Macaca fascicularis: one gene and its partners. The protein of the gene in region 1 purifies or fractionates together with the protein of each later gene. This does not show direct contact. Links are inferred from orthologs where the notes say so. Each region holds a gene or a part of one and is shown on either strand. Other genes may lie near its edges. The genes, in order: STX7, STX8, VAMP3, VAMP8, SNAP23, VAMP4 and PTTG1IP.

The links.
Region 2: the proteins of STX7 (region 1) and STX8 purify together in Homo sapiens (affinity purification with mass spectrometry; 5 studies listed by BioGRID and IntAct, counting the BioPlex papers as one, with this or other methods). This does not show direct contact. The link is inferred for Macaca fascicularis from reciprocal best matches to the Homo sapiens genes STX7 and STX8.
Region 3: the proteins of STX7 (region 1) and VAMP3 purify together in Homo sapiens (affinity purification with mass spectrometry; 3 studies listed by BioGRID and IntAct, counting the BioPlex papers as one, with this or other methods). This does not show direct contact. The link is inferred for Macaca fascicularis from reciprocal best matches to the Homo sapiens genes STX7 and VAMP3.
Region 4: the proteins of STX7 (region 1) and VAMP8 purify together in Homo sapiens (affinity purification with mass spectrometry; 7 studies listed by BioGRID and IntAct, counting the BioPlex papers as one, with this or other methods). This does not show direct contact. The link is inferred for Macaca fascicularis from reciprocal best matches to the Homo sapiens genes STX7 and VAMP8.
Region 5: the proteins of STX7 (region 1) and SNAP23 purify together in Homo sapiens (affinity purification with mass spectrometry; 3 studies listed by BioGRID and IntAct, counting the BioPlex papers as one, with this or other methods). This does not show direct contact. The link is inferred for Macaca fascicularis from reciprocal best matches to the Homo sapiens genes STX7 and SNAP23.
Region 6: the proteins of STX7 (region 1) and VAMP4 purify together in Homo sapiens (affinity purification with mass spectrometry; 3 studies listed by BioGRID and IntAct, counting the BioPlex papers as one, with this or other methods). This does not show direct contact. The link is inferred for Macaca fascicularis from reciprocal best matches to the Homo sapiens genes STX7 and VAMP4.
Region 7: the proteins of STX7 (region 1) and PTTG1IP purify together in Homo sapiens (affinity purification with mass spectrometry; 3 studies listed by BioGRID and IntAct, counting the BioPlex papers as one, with this or other methods). This does not show direct contact. The link is inferred for Macaca fascicularis from reciprocal best matches to the Homo sapiens genes STX7 and PTTG1IP.

The regions. Positions count from the first base shown.
Region 1 is NC_088378.1:36,468,806-36,472,731, reverse strand, and holds the start of STX7 (syntaxin-7), read left to right. Parts: upstream 1-1,126; 5' UTR 1,127-1,236; intron 1,237-3,926. UniProt on the Homo sapiens protein: May be involved in protein trafficking from the plasma membrane to the early endosome (EE) as well as in homotypic fusion of endocytic organelles. Mediates the endocytic trafficking from early endosomes to late endosomes and lysosomes.
Region 2 is NC_088390.1:9,661,652-9,665,730, forward strand, and holds the start of STX8 (syntaxin-8), read right to left. Parts: upstream 2,801-4,079; 5' UTR 2,778-2,800; coding exon 2,761-2,777; intron 1-2,760. Other genes in the region: CFAP52 (cilia- and flagella-associated protein 52), read left to right, coding at 3,688-3,757. UniProt on the Homo sapiens protein: Vesicle trafficking protein that functions in the early secretory pathway, possibly by mediating retrograde transport from cis-Golgi membranes to the ER.
Region 3 is NC_088375.1:227,095,572-227,099,071, forward strand, and holds part of VAMP3 (vesicle-associated membrane protein 3), read right to left. Parts: intron 842-3,500; coding exon 683-841; intron 1-682. UniProt on the Homo sapiens protein: SNARE involved in vesicular transport from the late endosomes to the trans-Golgi network.
Region 4 is NC_088387.1:36,008,971-36,012,962, reverse strand, and holds the start of VAMP8 (vesicle-associated membrane protein 8), read left to right. Parts: upstream 1-1,192; 5' UTR 1,193-1,288; coding exon 1,289-1,291; intron 1,292-2,652; coding exon 2,653-2,811; intron 2,812-3,992. UniProt on the Homo sapiens protein: SNAREs, soluble N-ethylmaleimide-sensitive factor-attachment protein receptors, are essential proteins for fusion of cellular membranes.
Region 5 is NC_088381.1:19,102,931-19,107,011, reverse strand, and holds the start of SNAP23 (synaptosomal-associated protein 23), read right to left. Parts: upstream 2,801-4,081; 5' UTR 2,741-2,800; exon of another isoform or gene 2,690-2,740; intron 1-2,689. UniProt on the Homo sapiens protein: Essential component of the high affinity receptor for the general membrane fusion machinery and an important regulator of transport vesicle docking and fusion.
Region 6 is NC_088375.1:29,354,531-29,358,535, forward strand, and holds the start of VAMP4 (vesicle-associated membrane protein 4), read right to left. Parts: upstream 2,801-4,005; 5' UTR 2,631-2,800; exon of another isoform or gene 2,347-2,630; intron 1-2,346. UniProt on the Homo sapiens protein: Involved in the pathway that functions to remove an inhibitor (probably synaptotagmin-4) of calcium-triggered exocytosis during the maturation of secretory granules.
Region 7 is NC_088377.1:2,169,845-2,174,005, forward strand, and holds the start of PTTG1IP (pituitary tumor-transforming gene 1 protein-interacting protein), read left to right. Parts: upstream 1-1,361; 5' UTR 1,362-1,425; coding exon 1,426-1,540; intron 1,541-4,161. UniProt on the Homo sapiens protein: May facilitate PTTG1 nuclear translocation.

The DNA of each region.
Region 1 (3,926 bases):
TAATCTCAGGTTCTTCTGTAGTGCATTGTACCTTCCCCTCCCAGAGCCCAGAGGTCTATCAAAGATAATATGAATGGTATTTGGAAAGTGCACTAAACCTCACACAGATGTAAGATCCTTTCATGAGTTCCTTCAACGATTGAAATGTCTCTTCCTACGTTCACCAGCCACTTCCTAATTCTCAAGTACAATGCACTACTTTCAGTTCTTTATTTACTTGAACTTTCTGTGACAGATGACATGATGGACCATTCCCTCTTTTTTCCCTTCATTCTCTAGTTTGCCTTTTCCTGGTTTATTTCCTATCTTGTGGGTTACTCCTTTTCTGGGTTATTCTTTCTCTGTCCATCTCTCTTAAACAGATAACATTCCACACTTAGTGTTGGTGAGTTTCAACCAGAATTCTATACTAGGTTTTGCTTTTTTCCACCTAAGTGCATCTGGACTTTTGATATCACATATCCGGGTAATCATTTTAGAAAATAGTGTTTCCTTAATATAGGCGAAGGCTAAGCCAATCTATCTTCTAATTAATTTGGTGAGGGCTTTCTTTCATTTGTAGCAATTGATGCTTTTCATCTAACAATTATATTATATTTGCATATTTATCATTGGAACAGTCTCTGCTTGTTTTAAACCCTGTGAAAACTACGCCCTGCTTTTCAGGAATGCTTCGAATGACTTGTACGTACTAGGAAAACTTGTTTACTAAGTGAGGACCCAGAGATGACTCTTCACTTATTCCTTCATTGTTCCCGCTAGGATTTTGTATTCGCCTTTGCATTTTTCGATAGAGCTGTGAACGCGATCTACTGCAGTTAAAGGTTAGCAAACAAGATAGGCAGGAGCTAAAGGGGCGGGGTGAAGACCTGCGTGCAAGAAGGCTTCACCAGATAAAGAAGACAACTGTCCTCCATTCTGTCCTCTGCTTTTTTGCACGCAGGCTAAGAGGCGTTCACCATCTCTACGTCAGGCTTCAAAGAACAGCTCCCTTGCAATTTTGCTGATACTCCCATTCCTTAGCTTGGAACCGAAGGGGCGGTGAGGGCCGCTGTCACTCAGCCCCGCGGGCCAATAGAAAAGGGGTGAACCCCGCCTTCTTCCTTGAATTGTGCTGCGGGCATGCGCATTGGGCGTCCCCACGCCACCGCCCATCAGCTGAGAATTGCAGCTGAAGGCTCGGGGGTCGGTGGGTGACGGTGGTCGGAGGTGTAGGAGGGAGCCACCGAGGTCCAGGTAAGAGGACCCTGGGGAGGGGGGTTTCCTGGCCGTGCGACAGGGAGGCGCGGTGCCCCTGCGGCGCCGCTCCTCCTTGTTTGTGCGCGTGGTCAGGTGGCCGCCGCCCTGCGCTCTGCAGCAGGCACTCGGTAGGTGAGGAAGGGCCGGACTGCCCCGGCTCCCGGAGCGCCTGCGGCTCCCCATACCCCCAGGCCGGGTGCAGGGGCGCGGCGCGTTCCGCATTCCTGGAGTGCGCGGCTGTGGTTAGGTGGGCCTGGCCAGCCACGCACCCGCCGTGGTCCCATGGGCAGCGCTCCCGAGGCGCACGGCGTGGCCGGCGCCAGACCCGGCTGGGGCCCAGCCCAGGAATCCAGACACGACCAAATGACCTCTTCCTCTTTTCAACTCATGGATTGAAAAACACACTTTAAACTTCCCGAATATAGAGGAACTGAAAAATGTATGGCTGTAGCAGACAAACCGTGTATGTTTGTTTATTCAGTGGCTCGTAGTATTTGTTTTATTTGGCTTGATGACTTAACATACTTTGACATTCTTAGTATACACGTTTAATTAATTTACATAAAAACCTTTAAACATACATAAAATATTTCTAGTATTTCCTCCACCTTGTTTTTTAGTTACTTACTTTCTTTAAATTCAGACAAAGAAAAAAAAGTTGCATTTCTGATCAAATGCTGTGTGTTTTTTTCCCACAAATTTCTCACATTTGCTTGACTGTTATCTATATACGTTAATTTTTGTTTACCTCAGATCGTTGTATTCTGACTATAATTATATATAGTATATAAAACTTGCCTAGAATCTGGAAGAAAAGAAAGTAATTATGAAATGCTGTGCTATTTAATAATGTTGGAAGTGAGCGTTTCTTCTGCAGGTTCTCTGAGCACACCTGGGCAGAGGCTAATAATGGTGTTAAACTGTGTTTGTGATGTGGCCAGGCCTTATAGGCCACTTTGAGAAGTTGGCCTCAGACTTGTGACTAGTTAAGAATTATGCTCTTAACTTCACAGTGTCTGCAGAGGTTAATATGATACCATATTAAGTCATTAACATCATCATTTTTCCTCGGATATGTTACTTATGTTGCTCTTGATAACAAAATCAATTCTCATTTTGATTATGACCCCAAACTTTAAGTGCTGATGATTGAAAAGTAAATTATAGAAAATATCCACAGTAAGTCTGAGTAAAGTTTGCTGTGATTCCATTTAATTTGCAAGTTTCATGTGTGAAAGTGTGAAAAAAATAATCCTTGATATTGTGAACTAAAACCAAGTAGTACAAAAGTTCAGTGATGGAAGATCTAAGGCCAAAGAATGCAGTTAATGTAGTTTGTGCAGAGGATACTTATGTAGACAGTTCCTTGAGCATTTAGTATGCACCAGGCACTGTAGATTACACAGAATGACAAGGTCATCTATCCCCTGTTTATATTCCAGAAGTAGCTCCTGTTTGTATTCCAGAGGTATAGGGATCAATAATAAAGGTTTGTATTCCAGAGGTGTAGGGATCAATAATAAACAGTAACTAATTAGACTATTGAGTATTGTGAAGCAGTAAGTTAGATTGACAAAGAGTGGCCTGTGGTGAGTTCTCACTTTCAGATCAGAGTGGTCACAAAGGTTTCTCTAGCATGTGATGAGGCCTTGCTGGGGAGAAGGAGCCAGTCACATGGAGATCATGAGAAGAGCCTTCTAGAAATAGGAAATGGCACCCAGCAAAGGCCTAAGGCAGCAAGGAGCCTGCGACCTTCGGGATCTGAAAGAAGGCACTGGAATTTTATGTTTTAGAAATGGTAATATTTACCCTCACGCTGGGTGTGTGTTCTTAGGAAGTGGGTACATTCATTCATTCTACAAATATTTGTTAAGCACTTATGATGTAGCCAGGCACTGAGAATAGTGCAATCCACAAAACAGGCAAAAAAATGCTCACCCCCCACCCGTCAGAACTTATTTGGGGTAGAGGGTAGAGAGAAGTCCAGTTGTTTATGCTGATGTTAATGATTAAGAAAGTGAAATTGACCCCTTCTTTGCCCAGAGTAGATTTATAGAGCATGAGATATATGCTAAATGGAAATCTTAAGGATTCTACAGTGTATCTGATTTTAACTGGGAGTAGTGTTTGACACTTTAAGATTACATTTTAACGTTCCCTTTGTTCATTCTTTTGTGTTCTTTAGAAGCAGTCTTGAGAAGACGCTCATCTGAGTGTTGCACTTTGATTCTCCCTTCCTGTTTTTCTCTTTATGGTGTTTGTGTATCTTCATAGAAAGATGATTATTGCGATGTGGAGATTGGCACTGTGCAATAGCTCTTTCTGTGATGATGGACGTGGTCTGTGAATGAGCTGTCCAAGCTGCTGGCCACTAGGAACACAGAATTTTTGAACGTTTGAAAGGTGTCTAGTATGACCGAGGAACTGAATTTTTCATTTAACTTAATTTTAATTAATTTTAATTTTTTAAAAACAAGAGCTACAATGTAATTTAAGTGATATACAATATAAAACGGTGTAAATTGTCACATCAAAAAATGAAATGTAGAGTAAAAGTGTAGTTTCTTACTGCAGTTACCTTGTTAACAGCTTATAATAAGATATTTTTTGCTTTTATTTTAATTGACAGATAATGATTATACACATTTGTGGGGTACATGTGATACCTCAGTAGATGTATACAATGT
Region 2 (4,079 bases), on another chromosome or scaffold:
TATTCTCTCTAAAGCCTGCTACCCAGAGGCTTCATTTGCATGATAAAATCTTGGTCTCCACTACCCCTTATCATAACCCAGACATTCCTTTCTATTGATAATAAGTCAACCAATTGCCAATCAGAAAATTTTTCAAACTACTTATGACCTTGAAGCCTCCCCCACCCCCTTCAAGGTGTCCCGCCCTTCTGGATTGAGCCATCATAAATCTCACATGTATTAACTCATGTATTATTCTTCCTAAATTGTATAAAAGCAAGCTGTTCCCCAACCACCTTGGGCACAGGTCTTCAGAACCTCCTGAGGCTGTGTCACGGGTGCATTTGTTATTATTATTATTATTTTTTTTTTTGAGACAGAGTATCGCCCTATCGCCCAGACTGGAGTGCAGTGGCGCAATCTCGGCTCACTGCAACCTCTGCCTCCCAGGTTCAAGCGATTCTCCTGCCTCAGCCTCCCAAGTAGCTAGGATTACAGCGCGTGCCTCCACGCTCAGCTAATTTTTTTTGTATTTTTAGTAGAGACGGGGTTTCACCATGTTGGCCAGGCTGGTCTCGAACTCCTGACCTCGTGATCCACACGGGTGCATTCTTAACCTTGGCAAAATAAACTTTCTAAATTGATTGAGTCCTGTCTCAGATACTTTGGGGTTCACAGTATCAAGGGCCTTAAAAATGTTCGTACCCTTCAGCCCTCACTTTCAACAATCTAATGAGAAAGCCACTTAGTCAAACTAATTGAGAATAACAAAAAAAAAAATAAATGCTTTCACTTTCAACAGTTCTAATTCCTACTTCTAGACAGGGAGCCCAAGGAAATAAGAGATGGAACAAAGGAACTGCCTTTGCAATCATAAAACAAAACAAAACATCAAAAAACCAAAAAACTAATATGAGGAGAAAAATAAATTATGGTCATTCATGTGATGCATTATTATGCAACATTAGAAAATTATGAGGCCGGGTGTGGTGGCTCACACCTGTAATCACAGCACTTTGGGAGGCCGAGGCACGCAGATTGCCTGAGCTCAGGAATTCGAGATCAGCCTGGGCAACACCGCGAAACCCTGTCTCTACTAAAATACAAAAAATTAGCTGGGTGTGGCAGCATGAGCCTGTAGTTCCAGCTACTCTGGAAGCTGAGGCAGGAGAGTTGCTTGAACCCGGGAGGTGGAGGTTGCAGTGAGCCAAGATCATGCCATTGCACTCCAGCCTGGGTGACAGAGCAAGACTCCATCTCAAAAAAAAAAAAAAAGAGAGAGAAAGAAAATTATGTTTTCAAAGAATGTCCAATGACATAGAGAAATGCTGTTTTACTATATATAAAATACAGATTAAAGTAACAAATTCATTGTTAAAAATTAAACAATGGCTATTTCCAAATTATAGAGTTAAAGATGCTATTTATTTTCCTCTGCAAATTTTCAATATTCTCTAAATTAGATATTCTCTATCAAGGGGTGTATATAACTGTTAAAATTAGGGATTTGGGTTTTTTGGTTTTTTTTTTTTTTTTTTTTTTTTTTGAGGCGGAGTTTCGCACTTGTTGCCCAGGCTGGAGTGCAATGGCGCTATGTCAGCTCACCACAACCTACATCTCTCGGGTTCAAGCGATTCTCCTGCCTCAGTCTCCTGAGTAGCTGGGATTACAGGCACCCACCACCACGCCCAGCTGATTTTGTAATCTTTAGTAGAGAGGGGGTTTCTCCATGTTGGTCAGGCTGGTCTCGAACTCCCGACCTCAGGTGATCCACCTGCGTCGGTCTCCCAAAGTACTGGGATTACAGGCGTGAGCCACCACCGCGTCCGGCCTAAAATTAGGTCTAAAAAGGTCAATGCTAAATTAAATAATTGACCCAAATAACCTAGATTCCAGGTAACTCAACTTTGTTCTTGGAACCCATTCTTCTAACATCCAGGCTGAGGGTAACTTAAAGAATTATAAACTATATTAGAAATAACAACATAAGACATATATTCCAACAAGAACGTTATAGAGCTGTAATGTTTTTAATTATTAAGCAGAAAGGTCAAGTCTATGTTCAATAACAATATGTTCCTTGGGATCAAACAATATGTTCCTTGAGATCAAAAGTTACATCTTTCATCAAGCAGTCCTTGGGATTGACTGCTAAATAAATGACCCTTATCACCTATTGTTTTACTGCAGAAGCTACTGCTAAAGGAAAAGACTTCATGATATTAACTCAAGAAAGTGCAAAATGCCTTATAAACAAGCGCACAATTTCCCTCCCAGGTTCCTGTATCTGGAAGGGCCCCCAGGATCTAGGTCTTAGACCCAGCTGGTTACTAACTGGCTGGTGACCATGGATTCTGAACCTCGGTTTCTCCACCTGTGAAATAAGGGGGTTTACCGAGATGGACAGACATGCTACAAAAAGGTTATTTCGACTTCACTTTTATAGGAGTCCAAGGAAGCCTGCACCGGCCAGCTCCACAACCAGGATGGGCGGGAAATCCCCGCAGCGAGATGCAGCCCAGAAAAGCTAGAGAAATATTCAGAGATTTGGCTCAAATCCTCAGCTCTCCAGCTGACCACCCGGTCTCCTTCCCCAGCTACCCTTGGAAGGACCAAGGGTGGCGGGATGTGGCTGAGTCCCCTCAGTAGAGGAAGGGTCTCGCTGCCCCTCCCCTCATCTCGAAAGGCCTCCAGGGGCAATGCGAAGTGATCGCCTGCTCCCCGGAAGCCCGGCTTCCCCGAAGGTCCCTCCGCGCACCGCCACCCTCACCCTGGGCTCACCAGGGGTCCGGTGCCATCCTGCAGACTCCGCCCGCCGCTCGGACTCTTCCTGCTCTTAGCAGCTGACTACGGCGGCCCGCACGGCTCACTCCCCGCAGTTCGTCCCGTGCGCGACCGGAGCCTGGAGTTTGCAAAGTGAATAACTAGAGCCTAAGAACCATGATCAGAGAAAGGAAAGTGCTCCCCTGGGAACAGTTGGCTGGCGCAATCTACTCCCACTAAGAGACGCGAACAGCTGAGCTCAGTTAAAATTGTTAAATAGAAACTAACCATTTTCCCAGGAAGGTGGGAGCGCTTGCAAGACCTCCGTAGCAGTTACTTAAAAATTTATCCTGCTTCAAAAAAACAAAACAACAAACAAAACACTAGATTGCGGTGCGACTTGCACACTTCGTAAACTTACTACAACCTACTTTAAGTTAACTTTATGATATGTAAATTATACCTCAATAACGCTTTTTAAAAATATATTTAAAATATTTTTTCACGCTGCTTTAAACAGGGGCCCAAAGAAGTATCAATTTTATATATATATTTATGTATTTATTTATTTTATAGCAGCCTTCCCATCAGTCCTCTATGCTTGATTACATATTTTTAAAAATGCCATTCATTTGGTGCTTGATTTTAGAGTTACTAAGAAGTCACAGACTCAACACGAGGGGATGGAGGAATTAGTTCTGTGCAGTTAGTGCCATCTCCTAAATTTCCAGAGAAACAGCAGACACAAAAAAGATGAATCCCACCCTATCTCCCTCCCAGTCCCTATCTCCCTTCATTTCCAAGAATGCTAATGAACTCGAATTCGGCAGGCTGGGTTTCTGCGCGGGCGTGGAGCTGGCGCGCATGCGCTCGTCCGTTACCATAACGACCAGAAGACGCTGCACCCACTAGGGCGGAGAGCAAAGTAAGCAGAACCTCCCAGGGATGGATAACAAAATTTCGCCGGAGGCCCAAGTGGCGGAGCTGGAACTTGACGCCGTGATCGGCTTCAATGGTGAGGCCTCCAGCATCTTTGGGCTGGCTGGTTTAGGAACTCGGAGGACCTGTAGTGCAAACAGGAATAGTGAGACACCGGGGACACCTGAAATTCAGTGTGGGACAACGGCAGGAGCCCTGGGCAGGGACACACACGGAGGACCCGCATAGCCTGACCCTCCCCAAGGCCTTGGAGAGTCACTTCCTCGATCCGAGAGCCTCAGGGAGTGGGATGGTTTTTACCAGCTCTGACAAGCGCCAGCTCCTAAAAGGGACCAAATGCCTCCTCCCCAGGCGGGCCGGATGGGTACGGGTGGTTGTAACCCTTCTGCCACTAGGTC
Region 3 (3,500 bases), on another chromosome or scaffold:
ATAATTTCTAAAGCCTAAATTAAATGTTCTCAATTAGGGCCTGAAGGTAACTTCCCTGCTTTTTAAAAGATGTTCAAATGATGTGTGGCCTCTAGCTAGGCATTTGTGTGTGTATACAAGTTTTCCACATATGGAAAGGCTGCTCAGCTTGCCCTGTGTCTCAAAGTGTCACTTGTAAACAAGGCAGAGGACAGGATACATCTGGATCTGGTCGCAGCACGCTGACTCACTGACTGTATAAAATCTGCTTTGGCTCGTGCTCCTGGGCGGGCTGCTTTCTACTCTTCTGTTGGGCACACTGTGGCTTTCTAGCATTTCTTTCCCTTGACCTTGGAACCATTCACAGAACTACACGAAAACTAACCAATTCCAGCCCTCTCCTATGTGTTTGGGGCCCTGCTGGGGTAGAGGGTTGGGAGGGGCTGATGACTGTGAGTGATTTTGGATATTCTTGTTCTACGTGCATCTTCTGAAGATCAGCCACAACACATAGAGGATTCCCAGGGTGAGGCTAGGAAAGGGTATGTAGTCAGTGTTTCAGATTCACAGTGGACCCACATTTCCATGTGGAGGAAATCAAACCCACCTCCCAGAGTCATGAAAGTCCATTATCTGTAGCCTGTTAATTCTCTGAGAATGGAGAAGGGGGCTTAAATGTAAAGGTGAGTTAAAAGATAATTACCTTGCAATTCTTCCACCAATATTTCCTCTTCAACTTGGCTGCACTCGTTTCAAATTGAGAAGCGCCTGCCTGCAGTGCATCTGCACGGTCGTCTAACTCAGAGAGCTTCTGGTCTCTTTCCAGAACCTTGTCCACATTAACTCGCATTATGTCCACCACCTAGATGAGTGTGATCACAACAAGTAATGCACAAAGAATGGAGGAATAGGGCCACGTGTGGTGGCTCACGCCTGTAATCCCAGCACTCTGGGAGGCCGAGACGGGTGGATCACCTGTGGTCAGGAGTTCGAGACCAACCTGGCCAACACGGCGAAACCCTGTCTCAGTACTAAGAGTATAAGAAAATTAGCCGGGCGTGGTGCTGGGTGCTTGTAATCCCAACTATTCAGGAGGCTGAGGCAGGAGACTCACTTGAACCCAGAGGGCGGAGGTTGCAGTGGGTGAGATTGCGCCATTGCACTTCGACCTGGGCGACAGAGTGAGACTCTGTCCCAAAAAAAATAGAGGCACAGAGACTTCAAAGACAATCTATGGGCACATTGTTCTTTCAGGTCAGCACTTTATTACTTTGAGCCAAACTTTCGCTTTAAAAAAAATGAGCTCACTCTTTCATCATCAAAACAATCAGCATATTAAGGATAGAAGGGAATTTCTTTAATATGATAAAGGGCATTTATGGGAAAATCCACAACTAATATCATGCTCAATGGTGAAAGACATCCCCCCTAAGATCAGGAACGAGACAACGATGCTCACTTTCACACTGCCACTCAATACTGTACTGGAAGTTCTGAACAGAACAATTAGTCAAGAGAAAGAAAAGGCATCCAAATTGGAAAAAAAGAATAAACCTATCTGTATTTGCAGATGATTCTCTTTATATAAAAAATACCAAAGAATCCACAACAAACTGCTAGAGCTAACAAATACAGCAAAATTGCAGGGTACAACAACACATAGCAATCAGTTGTGTTTCTATACACCAGCAACAAATAATCTGAGGTGGAAATTAAGGAAACAATTGTGTTTACAATAGCATCCAACAGAATAAAATACCTAGGAATAAATTTAACCAAAAGGCGAATGACTTGGACAATGAAAACTAGAAAACATTTATGGCCAATTGATTTTTGACAAGAGTGCGAAGGCCATCCAACAGTTTTTTCAATAAACAGTGCCGGGCCAACTGAAGAGCCAACACGCAAAAGAATGAAGTTGAATCCTTACCTCACCCTATATACAAAAAGTAACTCAAAAGGGATCAATAATCTAAGTGTAAGAGCTAAAGCCATAAAACTCTTAGAAGAAAACATAAGGGTAAATCTTCATTACTTTGGATTTGACTGTGGATTCTTAGATTTGATACTGAAATCAAGAACAACAAAAGGAAAAACAGATACACTGGACTTCATAAAAATTAAAAACTTTTGTGCATCAAAGAACATTATCAGGCCAGGTGCGGTGGCTCATGCCTATATTCCCAGCACTTTGGGAGCCCCAAGCAGGTGGATCACCTGAAGTCAGGAGTTCGAGACCAGCCTGACCAACATGGTGAACCACTGTCTCTACTAAAAATACAAAAAATTAGCTGGGCAAGGCGGTGGGTGCCTGTAATTCCAGCTACTCTGGGGGCTGAGGCAGGAGAATCACTTGAACCCGGGGCTTGGAGGCTGCACTGAGCTGAGACTGCACCACTGCACTCCAGCCTGGGTGACAGAGCAAGACTCTTGTCTCAAAAAAAAAAAAGATAAAAATTAAAAAAGAACATTTTGAAGAACGTAAAAGACAAGCCACAGAATGGGAGAAAGTATTTGCAAATCACATGTCTACTAAAGAAAGATTTAATATCTAGAACACATAAAAAACTCTCACAACTCAAAAACAACCCAATTAAAAAATGGGCAAAGCCTGAACAGACATTTCTTTAAAGACATACAAATGGCCAATAAGCACATGAAAAGATGCTTACCATCACTAATCATTAGAGAAAGGCAAATGAAAACCCAAAGAGCTCAGTAGGATGGTTATAATCAAAATGGAAAACAAGTGTTGGCAAGGATGTGGAGAAACAGGAACTCTTGGACATTGCTGGTGGGAAAATAAAATGGTGTGGCTATCGTAGAAAACAATTTGGCAGTTCCTCGTAAAATTAAACATACAGTTACTATGACCTAGCAATGCTACTCCTAGGTATATATTCAAGATCAATGAAAGCATATGTCTAAACAAAATCTTTCCTGTGAATGTTTATAACAGCATTATTCATAATTGCTGAAAGATGTAAACAACTCAAAGACTCATTAACAAATGAATGGCTCAACACATTGTGTATACACATACAATGGAATATTACTCAACCATAAAAAGGAACATGGTACAACGCGTTACAACTTAAATGAATGCGAAAAACTTTGTGCTAAGTGAAAGAAGGCAGATGCCAAAGGCCACATACTGTATGATTCCTTTTATATGACATATCCAGAACAGGCAAATCCACAGAAAGAGAGAGCTGATTAGAGGTAACAAGGAAATGGGAGGAAGGGGAAATAGTGAATGATTACTAAATGGGTATGAAGTGTTCTAGGGTGATGAAAAAGTTTTGAAAATGGAAAGAGGTAACAGTTGCAAAATATTACGAATATACTAAATAACACTCAATTATATACACTTTAAAATGTTTAGTTGTACGTTATGGTAATTTCACCTCAATAAAAAACAACCCTCCTTAAAATTCCTTTGGTTAAAAAAAATTCCAATTTGATTTTATAAGTCAACAGAAATTTCAGGCAGGACAGAATTACAATGGGTTTCTTACTGG
Region 4 (3,992 bases), on another chromosome or scaffold:
TAGTGGAAAAGTCCTTTGCCTTGGGCCCCTGCTCTGGTACACCAGGGCAGTCTTCTGATCACTGATCACTGACTGGGATCAATTACCTCTCTGGTGGTCCCTGAAGGGAAATGCAGAATTGCTGAACTCTGGAAGGGAAGGAGGGGTTTGGTGAGCCATCATTACAGACACTGTGCTAGTGGCAGTGCACTGCACACGCTATCTTTTTTTTTTTTTTGAGACAGAGTCTTGCTCTTATTGCCCAGGCTGGAGTGCAATGGCATAGTCTTAGCTCACTGCAATCTCTGTCTCCCAGGTTCAAGCGATTCTCCCGCCTCAGCCTCCTGAGTAGCTGGGATTACAGGCACCTGCCACCATGCCTGGCTAATTATTTTGTATTTTTAGTAGAGACGGGGTTTTGCCATGTTGGCCAGGCTGGTCTCGAACTCCTGACCTCAAGTGATCTGCCTGCCTTGGCCTCCCAAAGTACTGGGATTACAGGCGTGAGCTACCATGCCCAGCCTCTTTTTGCTTCTTACCAGCACTGTCTGAGCTAAGCATCAGCACCTGCAAACTCCACAGAGGTGAAAAGGTTCACTCAGGGGCCTGTAACTAGTAACCCAGAGCTTTCTGAATCAGAGCCCAGGATCACAGTATTCCAGACTTCAGGGGTTTTAGTGCTTTCTGTCACTGAGGGACCTGAGAACAAGTGTTATCCAGCAAGAAATTTTCATAACTGCATTTTATTTCCCTGTGAGCCAGGCCTGGCATGGTTGATCTCTGTCTCTAGAAACTGGAGTCAGATATTCAAGACATTAAAAGGAGATGGCTGGTGGGGCGTCATGGCTCCTAGGACTTTGGGAGGTTGAGGTGGGAGGATTGTCTGAGCCCAGGAGTTTGAGACCAGCCTGGGCAACATGGTGAGACCTCATCTCTATTAAAAAAAAAAAAAAAAAGAAAGAGAGAGAGAGATGGCTGCCCTTTCTAGATCAGGAGGTCCAGCCTCAGGAAACCTTGGAGGGCTGCTTGATCTTTCTTTTCTAATTCCTGAAAAGTTAGAAGACCTTTAACATCTGAGAGCCCTATTACTCTAAGCTTAAGCTCTTGTTTGGGAAGCCACTGGGTGGACAGTGAAGAGTGCCCGCCTACCTGGGGAAACCTGAGTTAGGTGTGGCTGGAGCGACTCGAGATGCGAGGTGGGCGGGGGCAGGCTGAAAGCTGGAGCAAGCAGGAAGTGAGCTGACGGCCACCCTGGGAGGAAGCCGACTAGGCTAATTCACCTGCTGATCGGCCCGGGCTGCTCTGAGACATGGTGAGCGAACTGGAAACTAGGAAAGGGCTGATTTAAAGAGGAGCCAGAAGGGGCTCGGGACTGGGGGTTGGCTGTGGGGGGGGAGGAGAGTTGGCGGCAAAGTTAGAGGGCTGGGCCAGTGCTGCCTGTGGCCTCTCCTCTTTGACAACTTGGCTGCAAATAGCTCTGAACCGTCCTAGCAGGTGTTTCTATTCCTTCTTCCTCCCTCCCCTGACCTCTGTGCTGGTGGGGAGCTGGGCTTCCGTGCCAGTGCCAATGGGGGCTCCGAATTCCAGGCAAAGTGTTGTTGTGCCTTCCTCCTCCAGGGAGCCCGAGGCGGGTGTTGTGACACCACCAGGCAGTGCTTGGGCAGTTTCCAGTTCAGATTCCAGCCCAGCGGCAGGAGCTCTCCTCTCTGGCCTTTCACTTTATCCCTACACAGAAACACAAAGGATTTGTGTGTCCACTGAGTCCTTTGGGTGTCCTTTCTCCATTAACATGAAGAAGAGAACTAAGGGTTTATAAGATAACCAGAAGTTGGTTCTCTGTGATAAGCTAGTTCTGACCCATGCCACTGGCCTGTTTTTGGAGGTCAAGGAGGGAGGAGCTTAATAATGTTTTTCTCTCCTTGTTCAAAAACCTTGTCATGAAGTCTCTGAGATGAGACATCAGCCAGGGAGGACTAGTCCTCCATTTCCCCCAACACCCAGGCGGGTATTTTTATTTAATGTCTGCATAAGCAGGTGGTTGCTTGGTGCCTGTGCGTGGTGCCCAGTGGTAGGGAAAGCAGAAGTGTGTGGCTCAACGGCTGTGGGCGCCTTCTGGGGTACTTGGTTGCCTGTTGTTCTGGGTCACAGCAGCAATGGCATTGCGGCCAGGGCCATGCTCCAGCAGCTATTTAGAGGGGCAGATGGGTCAGGCTGGGTGAGGGTGTTTTGCTGGCCAGCACAGACACTTTCAATGAGGATCCCGAGAAATCAGGAAAGAGGGGTGGCTCCGGGAATTGTAAATAGTGGTGGGCTCTGCCCTGGAAAGGGAACATTGTGAGATGCCGGCTCTGCTGTATTCTATGGCCTTCTCTAGGGAGCAAGGAAGCAGTGGGGAGGGATTTAGTGATGCGCTGCTTTTCCTTGTCAGGGGTCCTAACAATCCTGAAAGAAGTTTGATCTAGTCTCTTTAGCATCACGTCTTACCTTCTGGGGCTTACAAATGCATTTATTTTTGATTACACAAGTAATACATGAAAACATTCTCTTTGTAAACATTTCAAGCATTTTACAAAAAGCTGAAGTCTGCCTGAGGCCTTACCCTCCCCAGGCCTCTGAGGCCAAGTCTCCAGTTCCCCCACCACTTGGTCTAATTAACCCCGTGTTGCTGTGCAGGAGGAAGCCAGTGAAGGTGGAGGAAATGATCGCGTGCGGAACCTGCAGAGTGAGGTGGAGGGAGTTAAGAATATTATGACCCAGAATGTGGAGCGGATCCTGGCCCGAGGGGAAAACTTGGAACATCTCCGCAACAAGACAGAGGATCTGGAAGCCACAGTGAGACAGGGAGCCCACTGGAGGCTGGAGGAAAAGAGGAAGGGAGGGAATTTCTTTTTGGTGGGGCAAAATGAACAGGAGGGTCAGAAGTGTAACATTTCTGTTGCCTTTCACCTGGTTTGGGAGCTGATGTGAGCTGAGTCTCCACTTCTGAATCTGCTCTGCTCCACAGATTGTTATGGATCCCAGGGAATGGATCCCATGACTGGGGCTTGAGGTGGCAGCTCACCCATAGAGGCATATTCTGAGACCGATAGCTCAGTCAGCCCATGCATTCTCAGGCTTCTCTCCCGGGAAACTTGTTTTCCCTTTGAAGCCTGCCCATGACAATCATTTGGATCTGACCTTCCCAGGGCAGAAGTATTGGCTTTGAGGAAACCCCCCCACCGTGGCCTCTAGCCTTCTCTAGGAGCTATTAGACAAGGGGTGGGAAATTGCTGGTATCTTGCTGAGTTGGCTTTAAAAAGAAGGAGGAAAGAGCAGAGAAATGCTTTGATCCCAGGGTCCCCTGCTAGATGAAGGCTAAAATAATATCTCCCACACATCTTGCTAGACCTCATTCTTCTCTCTCTCCAGCCAGGGGCTGCGGCCAGCTGTTTCAGGGAGGAAGTAACTCCAAAGTTGAGCAAAGTCTGGAGCCTCAGGTTTTGTGTCCAGCTGGGAAGCTGGCTCTGGCTTTCTTAGTCCTGTGTGAACTCTTGGCTCTTGGGTATTGCTCCCTTGTCTCCCTGGGGCTCATTGCCTGTTTCTGTAGCTTAATTGTAGCTTAATTTGGGGAGCACGGCCCCAGGATTTTTTTTTTTTTTTTTTTAATAGAGCCTCACTCTGTTGCCCAGGCTAGAGTGGTGCAATCTCGGCTCACTTCAACCTTCGCCTCCTGGGTTCAAATGATTCTCTTGCCTCAGCCTCCTGAGTAGCTGGGATTACAGTGTGCACCACCACACCTGGCTAATTTTTGTATTTTCAGTAGAGACGAAGTTTTGCCATGTTGGCTAGGCTGGTCTCGAACTCCTGACCTCAGGTGATCCACCCACCTTGGCCTCTCAAAGTGCTGGGATTACAGACTTGAGTCACCATGCCTGGACAAGCACTAGGAAATTTAGTGTCTATAACTCGAATTGCTGGGCATGGGGAAGAGTGCATGGAGGAGGAGGAGTTCCCTTACTTCCAACCCTCTGTAC
Region 5 (4,081 bases), on another chromosome or scaffold:
TAAAAGGGACCAAGGTACAGCTTGGGCTGTTGCTTCAGAGGCTGCAAGCCCCAAAACCTTGGTAGCTTGCACGTGATGCTGGGGCTGCAGGTGCACAGAAGTCAAGAATTGAGGTTTGGGAACCTCTGTCTAGATTTCAGAAGATGTATGGAAATCCCTGGATGTCCAGGCCAAAGTCTGCTGCAGGGGAAGAGACCTCAAGGAGAACCTCTGCTAGGGTGTTGCAGAAAGGAAACATGGGGTTGGAGCCCCCCCAGAGTCCCCACTGGGGCACTGCCTAGTGGAGCTGTGAGAAGATGGCCACCATCCTCCAGACTCCAGAATGGCAGGTCTACAAACAGCTTGCACCATACACCTGGAAAAGCCGCAGGCACTGAATGCCAGCCTAGGAGAGCAGCCTCTGGGCCTGAACCCTGCAAAGCCACAGGGTCGGAACTGCTCAAGCCCTTGGGAGCCCACTCTTTGCATCAGCATGCCCTGGATGTGAGACATGGAGTCAAAGGAGATTAAAATAAGCTTTAAGATGGAATGACTGTCCCACTGGATTTTGGACTTGTATAGGGCCAGTAACCCCTTTGTTTTGTCCAATTTCTCCCATTTGGAATGGGAGCATTTACCAATGCCTATTCCCCCATAGCATCTTAGAAGTAACTAACTTGCTTTTGATTTTACAGGCTCCTAGGCAAAAGGGACTTGCCTTGTCTCAGATGAGACTTTGGACTTGGACTTTTGGGTTAATACTGGAATGAGTTAAGACTTTGGAGGCCTGTTGGGAAGGCATGATTGTGTTTTGAACTGTGAGGACATGAGATTAGAAAAGGGCCAGGGGAGCCGGGAGTGGTGGCTCACGTCTGTAATCCCAGAACCTTGGGAGGACGAGGCGGGTGGATCATGAGGTCAGGAGTTCAAGACCAGCCTGGCCAATATAGTGAAATCCCGTCTCTACTAAAAAATACAAAAATTAGCCAGGTGCGGTGGCTCACGCCTGTAATCCCAGCACTTTGGGAGGTGGAAGCCAGTGGATAACCTGAGGTCGGGAGTTCAAGACCAGCCTGGCCAACATGGCCAAACCCCATCTCTACTAAAAATACAAAAATTAGCCAGGTGTGGTGGCAGGCGCCTGTAATCCCAGCTACTTGGGAGGCTGATGCAGGAGAACTGCTTGACCCTGGGAGATGGAGGTTGCAGTGAGCGGAGATCATGCCACTGCACTCCAATCTGAGCAACAGAGCAAGACCCCATCTCAAAAAAAAAAAAAAAAAAAAAAAAAAAGGCAGGTTTGGTGGAATGCATCTGTAGTCTCTATTCAGGAGGGTGAGGCAGGAGGATGGCTGAAGTGTTGGAGGTTGTAGTGAGCCGACATAGCGCCACTGCGCTCCAGCCTGGGTGACTCTGTCTCAAAAAAAAAAAAAAAAAAAGAAAGAAAGAAAGAAAGAAAGGGGCCAGGGGCAGAATGATATGGTTTGGCTACCCATAACCTCATCTCGAATCTGGTGGGAGGTGATTAAATTATGGAGGTGGTTTCCCCCATGCTGTTCTCATGATACTGGTTTTATAAGGGGCTCTTTCCCCTTCACTCTGTCTCTCCTGCCATCTTGTGAAGAAGGTACTTGGCTTCTCCTTTGCCTTCCACCACGATTATAAGTTTCTTGAGGCCTCCCCAGCCATGCAGAACTGAGAGTCAATTAAACGTCTTTCCTTTATCAATTACCCAGTCTCAGGTATTTCTTTTTCTTTTTCTTTTGGAGATGGAGTCTGACTCTGCCTCCCAGGCTGGAGCACAGTGGCATGATCTCAGTTGACTGCAAACTCTGCTTCCCAGGTTCAGGGAATTCTCCTGCCTCAACCTCCGGAGTAGCTGGGATTACAAGCATATGCCACCATGCCTGGCTAATTTTTGTATTTTTAGTAGAGATGGGAGTTCATCATGTTGGCCAGGCTGGTCTCGAACTCCTGATCTCAAGTGATCTTCCCACCTGGGCCTCCCAAAGTGCTGGGATTACAGGCATGAGCCACCAAGCCCGGCCTCGGGTACTTCTTTATAGCAGTGTGAGATCGGTCTAATACAGACTCCATTCCAGGAGATGACAAATAGCAAAAGGCAAAGTGATACTCCCTTCTTGACTTTTTTTCTCCCCTACTTTTATGTCTTTACGTTTTCTCCTACCATCAACTGCCTTTCCTAACATTGTGGTGACTAATGATTAAAGAAGAAAAAAAGGACGAGATGAAACTGCACTTTACAGTACTTTTTCCCCCCACCACTACAATCCCGAATTGTGGAATTCATTCTTTTCCTGATCCTCTAATTTGTGCCGCGAGGTAAGGCTGAACCTTTCTACAGAGAAAGTGCTATCCAATACCAGGAACCTGAGAGTCCTTCCTCAAGCCATTATCTCAGAGCTATCTGGTCACCGTGGTCACCAGACATGCAGTCTATTAATGTCAACCACAGCAACACAGTGGGGGTGAGGGACGGGAGGTGATCTCTGTTTAATTTCGAGGAAGGGTCCAGAGAATCACCATCCAGCCACCTTCCTCCACTGGCCCCTCGATGTTCTCACGGCACCTCCCGTCCTCGCTCCGGGCCCATTTGCCCAGTAAGGGCCAGAGCGCCCCCTCCTCCGCTTAAGCCCGACCCCACCAACTTTTCAACCAATACGATATACTCTTTCTTCTCAGGACATACTCTCCGACTTCATCCCGGTCAGCTCCCTCCGTCCCACTCCTGGAGACTCACCAAGCGGGTAAGGCCACTCCTCTCCAGCCGCAGCTCGGACACCCCAACACCGGACCTGGCGCGGCGCCCTAGTCGCGCCTGCGCGCGCCGAGCCCGCGCGCCTGCGCACATCCCGTGCGCCGAGGACACGGACACACCCCTTCAGCTGGAGCCAATCACGGTGCTGGGGGTTTAAATGTCCCTGCCACGCAGGCGGAGAGTCTGGGAATTCACCAGTTAACCGGATAGATTCCGGTCATGCCCGAAGCTGGGAGGTGTTCATGCAATAAACATTTACGGAGGGCAAACCGTGTGCCAGGCACTGTGCTGGATGAACGATGAAGAAAAGAAAGCGAATAGAATGCTTTCCCTGCCCTTCAGCGTCTTTCAATATGTCTAGACTAAGATATAGATATGTAAACAAATTTATAGTGAATAGAATACAGTGCATAGCACATAGAAAATCTGAGGCGCCTTTGGCTGATAATGAACAAAGCGTTTTATTCTTAGGGGTGTCTGGAAGGGTTCCCGGAGGAAGTGACTTGAGTCCTGAAGGATAAGTAGGAGTTCCCCCGGAAATCCGGCAGAGAAAGAGCTAGAGTTTTCCAGGCTCTGGGAAACAGCTTATGTCGAGAACAGCATAACGCCTTCTGGAAATTTCTAGTAGTTCATCCTTGTAAGAGGCTTAGAGCTAATCGTACATCCCAGAGTGTAGAGGGAAGAAAGCTTTAGAAGGCCGACAATCGCTAGATTTTGGAAGGCCTTGGAATTTTAGACCACTTTGTACTATGGGCACTGAAAACTATTGAAGAGTTTTAAGCAGATGGATGATTATTGTAAACTATTTGCTGCAGGAACCCTTCCATGCACCTCTAAGAATAAAACAAACTGCTGGAAATCAAGAAAATAAAGTGCTTCACCAGGCACAGTGGCTCACACCTGTAATCAATCCCAGCACTTTGGGAGGCTGAAGCGGGCAGATCACGAGGTCAGGAGTTCGAGACCAGCCTAGCAAAAATAGAGAAACCCCCGTCTCTACTAAAAATACAAAATATGGCCGGGCGTGGTGGCTCACGCCTGTAATCCCAGCACTTTGGGAGGCCGAGGCGGGCGGATCGCGAGGTCAGGAGATCGAGACCATCCTGCTTAACACGGTGAAACCCCGTCTCTACTAAAAATACAAAAAAATTAGCCGGGCGTGGTGGCGTGGTGGCGGGCGCCTGTAGTCACAGCAACTCGGGAGGCTGAGGCAGGAGAATGGCCTGAACCCAGGAGGCGGAGCTTGCAGTGAGCCGAGCTCGAGCCACTGCACTCCAGCCTGGGCGATAGAGCAAGACTCTGTCTCAAAAAAAAAAAAAAAAA
Region 6 (4,005 bases), on another chromosome or scaffold:
CCATAGAACCCAAAAAGGACAGGGTTCAGAGAGCTTCCCGAAAGCTGAACAAGTAGAGGGTTCCTGGACGGTGGCACACCTGGAGAGGGCACAGAAGCTCTGTACCCCTTGCCCTATGCACCTCTTCCATCTGGCTGTTGATCTCTATCCTTTATAATAAACCAGTAAACAAAGTGTTTCTCTGAATTCTGTGAGCCACTCTAGCAAATAAATGGAACACAAGGAAGGGATTGTGGGAACTATGATTTATAGCCAGTCAGTTGGAAGCACAGGTAAAACAACCTGGAACTTGTGACTGGCACCTGAAGGGGGGAATCTTGTAGGCTTAAGCCCTCAACCTGCCCGATCTGATGCTATCTCTAGGTATACAGTATCAGAATTGAATGAGAGAACACCCAGCTGGAGAACCTGCTGCAGAACTGCCTGCTTGCTTGTGAGGAGAAGTCTTTTTGGGGTCACAGGAGTATTCTGTGTTGAGAGAGAATAGGAGAAACTCAATTTTTCTTCTATCAAAACAACTGGATTAAACAAAACTAGTTTTCTTTGCTACAGAATGACTCACATCCTGTTATATGCTAATATGCATTGTGACTTTCCAGGAAAATGCTTGTGTATGCAACATATTAAAAATTTTTTTTGAGAAAAAGTTGTTCTATGCAAATAATGAATTTTCAGTATTTTTGACTAGATGGTAGATGAATACTCAGCAATTCAGGATAGCTCAGAAATAATGTTATACTGTGTGCTAGGCACTGTGCTCAGTGATATGCATGCATTTTCTTTTACTCTTTATGACCCTTCTTTGAAGTAGGCACCAAGAAACTAGGAGAAAACTAAAGTTTAGTAACGATAACGTTAGTCACTACACTCATTGAAACAGCAGAGATACAGGCCTAAATTAATCAATGGCTGTGCATTATCAGTTTTAACTGTTTTTTTCAATTAGTTGCTCATCAGGTTTACAGAATTCTGTTCTAGAAAGACCCACTTCCTGGTAACAACCCAATAGTCCTGTTTCCTTCTCCACAAGAAGAAACACAGCCCTTTAAATTAGGTATAGTTAGATATCAGTTTGTTGGTTAATGATATACACTTAAAAAAGAATAATCCCAGAATCATGTTTCACGAACCAAATAAAAGTAATATTTTAAGTCAGCTGCTTGTCAAAACAAACGGACACAAACACTTTTCTTTGGTAAGAAATGCTTCCAAATCAGAAATTATTCACTTGTAACAAAAACCAAACTCTTGCTGCCTAACAGCTCTTGAGTTCTTGGTTCCACAATATTTCTGTCACATACATCTGGCCCTTTTATTCCTCATACTTTGATTTCAGAATACTTAATTCTTGCAGAAATGTAACAGAATGCATGGAAAAACAGATGACAAGGCAAATTACTGAAGAACTTGTGCTTTTAACTATATCTGTATTTAGATTTTAACCCCTGCAAAGAGGCTCCCTCAACATCTCAAAGCAAACAACAGGCTGACTTATATAATGCCTTTATGAGACATAGGGTAAAACTACAATCTTAAGGAGGAGCAAACCCCATATTCAGGTCTCTTAATCCCAGGAAACCATGTGCAACAAATAGAAAGCCCATCAGCAAAGCAGTAGGCAGATTAATTAGCTACGTTGATGAACTTTGACGTTATTTGCAACTGGTGATTATTAGTAACTGATGACATGTGTATCAAACAACTAGTAGAAATGAATCATGCTCAGAAAGTAGACAAGGATATCGTCCGCCTAAGATTCTCCTACAAAAAAGACATGTGAATTCAGGTGTTTGTGACTAGGTATACATGTAAATAAGAGAGCTATCATGTACTTCCACATTGAGGATAGACCACCACTATAAAATTCACTTAAAAAAGTCACATCACCGTATGCTTCTTATACATCGGCATATACTTAAATGTCTATGTATGCATTTTTGTAAGTAGTACGTTATCTAGTCAACAGCTTTGAATCTGGGCAGAGGCTCTCCTTTTCCCAGCCTCCATTCCCTTTCTGACTCGTCTTCCTTGTCTGTCATCAGCCGTCTTGCTTGATGCAGTTTCACAGAAATAAAGTGACTTGGATGGACACAAACCGGAGATGTCATTTGCAAAACCTGTCAAGTGTAACGATTCACCCCCACCTTCCGGTCATTATAAACACAGCAGGGTTGGCGCTCTTTCTCCTGAGCCCTTTAAATACACAATTCCAGGCAGCTCCGTTCACCCCCCACACCCAATCTGTCGCACCAGGCCACGTCCCTGGATATATCTGCTCCTAACACTGGCCCTTCCTGCCCCACGGTACCCCCTGGCATTCCTGACTGCATCCCACTCTTAACAAACCTTCCCCATCCATGGCACTGTTTTCTTCCCATCACCCAGAGTTCCCTTCCATTCCAAGTCTTCTCTTCCTCAACTGCTCCCCGTCCGCACACCCCTGTCCTCGTCTTCCTTCCTCACGACACCCCGGGCCCCAGCCTTTTCCCACTCCGGGGTCCCTTCCTAGATGCCGGAGGCCGGCCGACCAGCCCGACTAGGACGTCGGGGGGCGGCGAGGCAGGGCGTCTTCTTCGTTTCCTTCCTCCTCACACCAGCCCCTCCCGCTGGGAACAGGCCAGCGCCAGTACCTGAGGCTCCCGGGGAACTCCCGGCAGCTCTCCCGGGCTGGCGGTGCTGGGCGGGCGGTGCTGGGCGGGCGGGGGAAGGAGTGGGAAGCCGAGGTAAAAAGCTGGGAGGGGGAGACAGTGGATGCAGACCCGGCGTCGGCCGCAGCGCCGCAGAAGCGCCTCCGCTCATCGAGCCGATCGGCGCTCGGCGGCCTGGCGCCAGGCGGAGAGGGCGGGTCCAGGGCACGGAGATAGTCGAGGAAGTCGATTCCGCCGAACGCGCTTCGCCTAAAAGAGCCCGGACCCACACGCAGTTTAGGTGCAGCTTTCCAAGGTTATGCTGTGCTTTAGGGGAGGAACGACCACCGGTTCTCCAGGTTCCGGTCGCGATCCGGTGGACCTGCTTCGGGTTCGTCTGGGGCCTTTTCTGAAGAAAGGAGATCTGTTCGATCCCTTGTTTACAGAATTAGCTACACTTGGAAAGAGATGTTAGGGGTTCCTAGGCCAGGCTCCTCCCTTTAGATAGGTGGAATATCTGGTTCAGAGAGGAGACTGACTTAAAGTTACACAGCTAGTTTAGATAGATACGGAACGAGGGCTCGGTGTTCTTTTCCTGGTATCCCTTAGTTGTAACCTGAAAGCCTTCAGGTTTCAGGGAAATCGCCCTTGCCAGGCCATTCCGCCACTCTGCCCATTCCTCCCTCACTCCCTCCCCCTCCGCCCAATTTGGTATCATGTTTAGATCTCGAAGCCCGCTGTAGCTGGCTACCAAAAACAAGTCCTAATTTTGTTTTTCCGTTCTCTTATTTGTTTTATTATCCATTCCTCCCACGCCCCAGCTGGATTATTTTACTCATTGAATCATATTCACTACACATCTTTTAAAATGAATACAGTGTCTATGGGTCCTTTGTTGATAGAGTATTTTAACTGTCTGAAATGCTTTGCCAGGCACTTTCTAAAGATATAAAAATAAGAGGGGGTGTTCAAGAACAAGAGTAGACAAAACAGCAGGAGGAAAGATCTGAGGACACTAAAGGAAAGGAAAGAATAGACACCCTCTTACCAAAAAGTTGCTCTTCTTTTGATTTTTTTTTTAATGTAAAACTGTACTAACGAATTTGAAAAATGCCATGACTAAGGCAATGATGCTCAACTCTGATTCACTTGGAGTTGAATCACTTGGAAAGCTTTTAAAACTGCGTAGGTGCCCACGTGTTACCTAGATTCTGATTTAAATGGTCTGAGATTTAGAAACAGCCGTTGGGTTGTCAGTTGAAGGTTCTGAAAGCTTGATGCTAAACTCAGTTGCCTATGTTTATGCCAAGTTGCTGACTTGGACTGAAACGGCCCACTTAGAAACCTCTCATGGTTTATATCTCTGTCTAGGCGTGAT
Region 7 (4,161 bases), on another chromosome or scaffold:
GGGTAGACGGAACAGTCTGAACCTCAGCCCTGGGAGGCTGCCAGAGACCCCGATCAGTTCCCAGGCGGTCGGGTGAGCCAAGGCCGCTCCGCGGGTGCCAGCGCTCCGAGTGCCAGAGAAGTGGCTCGGATCACAGGAGGCTGGCTTCGGGCCCATCTGCAGGCGCCCAGATCCCAACCTAAAATCACACAGAGTCAGAATCTAATGTAAGGGGGGTTTATTCAAAGGTGGTTGGAGGCTGGCCCACCCGGAAACACCAACTCCAGAGGAATGGAGTCCGCCCTCGGAAGCAGGCAGGGGAAGGGTGCCCTCGGGCAGGCAGAGGCCGAGGGGCTTTTAGCAGGATCGCGGCGTCCTTCCTACGAGGTGGGCGCAGTCACGGCGTTTGATGGGTGACGGGCAGTGCCTGTTTCGGGGAAGGGTACATTTAACCCGTCAGAGGGTGCGGCAGTCACGGCTTCCCGTCTTCTGGTCTAAGCAGTGCAGAAAACAGGGGAAGTTCATCTACAAGGGTCATGAACCAAGAAGGCAGGAGGTTTCCGTCCCTGGCACCAGAGAATCCCGGACCCGAGAAAGGAGCTGCGGGCGCACGGGAGCGGGCGGCCCCGGCTCTCGTGGGGCTTAAAGCGGCAGACTGTGTTCAGGTTCACGCCTCTAAATGTATTTTTGCCATTTCTTAAGTCGCCTTAAAAATGTCCGTCACCATTTAGTCCTTTCATCAACCGAGCAGCGAGGGCGTCGGCGAGAAGCCAGGGAGGAGAAACGGCGCCTCTCTCGGGAATTTAGGTGGCAGCTTCAGCACTACACGTTTCAGCCTATTTTGGGGCCGCTTCCAGTGCGGTTAACGTACAAAAATAAATAAATCCCCGAAACACCCCACGCGGACATCCGCGGGAGCCCAGCGCGGGAAGCCGCGGTGTGGAGCGCGGGCACCGGCGCGGACTACGAGGGCCCACCCGCGTCTCCTCCAGGTCTCACTTGAGAGCAGCGTGAGCAGGGCCTGGGGCCGTCGTCCGGGACGCCCGTAGCCCTTTAGGATGGAGGCCGCCGTCACCTCCGCCACCGAAGCACCGCGCTCAGCCACGCCTCTCAGCCGGCCGCCCGTCCCCGCCGCGCAGGCGCAGGAGCCGCGGCGGGCCCCTCGGTCACTCCTCGCCCACCCGCGCCACGGAGGCGCACTGAGCCTCAGCCGCTCTCCTCACTACCGGGCGCCGTTCCTCCATCGCGCAGGCGCACTGAACCTCAGCCGCGCCGGGAGGCGGGCCGGATGGCGAGGGGGCGGAGCGAGCTGCTTTTTGAGGCTGCGCAGTCGCGTGGCCCCGCCCCGCAGGTCCACTTCCGGCGCCGCGGCTCTTTCTGGCAGAGACAGCTTGTGCTGTAGTCGGAGTTATAACGAGCCCCTGACCGACGGAGCGACCGCCGACCATGGCTCCCGGAGTGGCCCGCGGGCCGACGCCGTACTGGAGGTTGCCCCTCGGTGGCGCCGCGCTACTCCTGCTGCTCATCCCGGTGGCCGCCGCGCAGGAGCCTCTCGGAGCCGGTGAGGGCGCCGGGGCGGGCGGGGCCGCGAAGGGGGCGGGGCGGCTGGTGGGTCCAGGTCGGGGTCGGAGTCCGGGTCCGGGTCGGGGTCGCGGCCTGGGCGCTGGGCTCGGCGGGCGGCCTAGGCCCACGGTCGCAGGCACTGCCCAGGCGGCGGCTTCTCGAGGGTCACGCCGGTCTGGCGGCCGCGGGAGCTGCCGTCACGGCTGGGGCGCGGGCCGGGGAAGAGCCGCCTTTGTCTTTGTCTTTTTGTTTTGTCCAGTCTCTGCGGCCTCTCCTCGCGCGTGGCGGCGGGTTGGCCCTCGCTCGGCAGGCGGCACTCTTGGCACCTGCGGCCTCTCTTAGCCTCACTGAGACCTCAGACAGCTCTCCTCGGGTTCGATCCCGAGCCGGGATGGCGGCTCACGACGTGCTCGAGGTCGCACAGCTGGTCGGGTGCAGGTCGGGATGGCGGCCCCAGGCCCCTGGAGGGTGATGGGGGCCGCGGCCGGCGTGTCTCTGCAGTTGCCGGCGTTCACGCCGCCGCTCCCTCCGGGCCACAGTTCCATGCACAGCAGCGAACGCTCGCACTTATCTTATGCCTCAGAAAGGAAGGCTTCTCCAAAACCAGGCTGTAGCATCTGATTTTGAAGCAAGCTGATTGCGGGTCTACGCTGTCCAGACCCGCAGGTGGCATTCTTCATTCGTTTATCCCATCTGCACCAGGCCCTGCGGCCACAGTGGTGACCGACAGACATAGCTTCTGTCCTAGAGGAGCTGAGTCCCCGGGAGGCTGACCAAGAAAGAAGCAGTGAGGGCGCGGGGGCTGGAGGAGTGCTAGTGGAGGAAAGTGCGTGACAGGAGACTCAGAGTTCCAGAAACCGGGAGTGTTTATAGAGAGTGGCTTCCTGTGGGGCTGGGCCTCCAGGACCTGGTGGGCTGCGGGAAAATCCAGCAGGTTCTAAGCTGGAGAGTGTCATGGTTGGACCTGTTTCAGAATGTCATGCTGGTTTCCGTGTTTGGAGTTTCCAGGGGACCACTAGTGGTGGGGAATAGTGCCACCTTAACTTCAGTTTCCTGACCCTTACAATTAGGGTTGACCTGGGCCCAGCTTGAGGGGCTAATACTTTTCTCAACTCATGTTAGCCCAGGCTCTGTCAGGGTCTGCTAAGCATAGTAGAGCACTTTTTCTTTTTGTGACCTTATGGAATGTTTATTCCAGTGCGGGGTTATTTGTGTTTCTTCTTATCTGTTTCCATGTGTACTTAGTGTTTGTGACGTTAGCAATGCAGCTGCCTTGAAGTTTGTTAATCAAGGAGGCCAGTGGTACTGTACTGGGAACTTTTGGCCCACATTGAGTTCTAAGCACAAATGTGCAATGAATACGTTTCAAGAAACGGAATGGGCGTTTGCCGGGAGAGTGTGTGATTCACTTGAAACTCGTATCAGTGGCTCGGGGGTGTGTTTGCTTGCATTGTTAAAGTGGGAGTGTTACGAAAGCCACCCTGAGGTTTTTGTTTGACTACTGTGATTCCTTCTACTCTGCACTTCTGAAGGGTGCAGAGATGGGTGTGGACAAGTGGAGTGGACAGTTTGGGAATTAATCCAGAACTGCCATTCGGTGTGTCAGCTGAAAAGCACTTCCTTCTCCTCTAGGAGACCACTCTTGGTTACTTCCACTTAGAGTAATCTCCAAGTCCCGGTGGGTGAACTGTTGTTTCTCTTACTGGGGACCCCTTGAAATAGGAAGAATGGTGCCACGTCATGTTGGCATTCACTGCCCAGGCGCCCGTGGTGTCTGCGTGCCCCTTGTCCTTGGAGAGAGGGCCTATTTATAGCTTGGAGAACTCGCATCTTCCCACAGAGTACTTGCTTAGTGTGAGATTTTTTACTGCTTGTCATAGTTACAGGAATGTGACCACAATACTAATGTTTAAAACATTTTGTCTTCTTTACAAGGACACTGTGTGAATTTAAAGAATACATTATACCAATCCAAATCCAACACTTTTAAGCATCTTTTTATGTGTTTTGATGGAGGAGAGACATTAAGAACCCATGGTGTATTGAAGATCTTTGGAGCAAGATTCTTGAAGTTAAAGAAACCTGGATAGGGCTTTTGGACCCCACTTTATTTATGTATGGGGTCAGACTCAATCCAAGAGCTTCATCTGGAGGAAAGACGACCCCAAAAAGGAGTTCGGACTACTGTCTGAGGGCTGGAGCAGTGTGGCCAGTGCAGGTCCCTGAGGTGGTAGGTGCCACCCAGCCGCTCCTTACAGTGGGGCCTCCTGATGTGGAAAGGGGTATCTGTAGTCGGCCCATCACTCTGAGAAGCATGGCTTTCTAACTTCACAGAGTGCTACAGTGTACACAGGGTTCACAGCGTTGATATATACTATTAATCTTCAACTCTTTGTTTTGAAATAGTGGAATTTGCAAGAACGTTTTTTGTCTCCATATCTGCCCTCTTTTCTCACCTGGAATTGACAATGTAGTTGGTCTTCATGCCTCTGTCCCAGTGCAGAGTGGGCACCATGCCTCTTTGGCTGTTGGTTCTGATGAGAACTGCAGCCTGGAGACTGCAGCGTGTGGCCTGCTGTGTGACAGGAGCATGACGAGGAAATACTTAACACTTGCTGA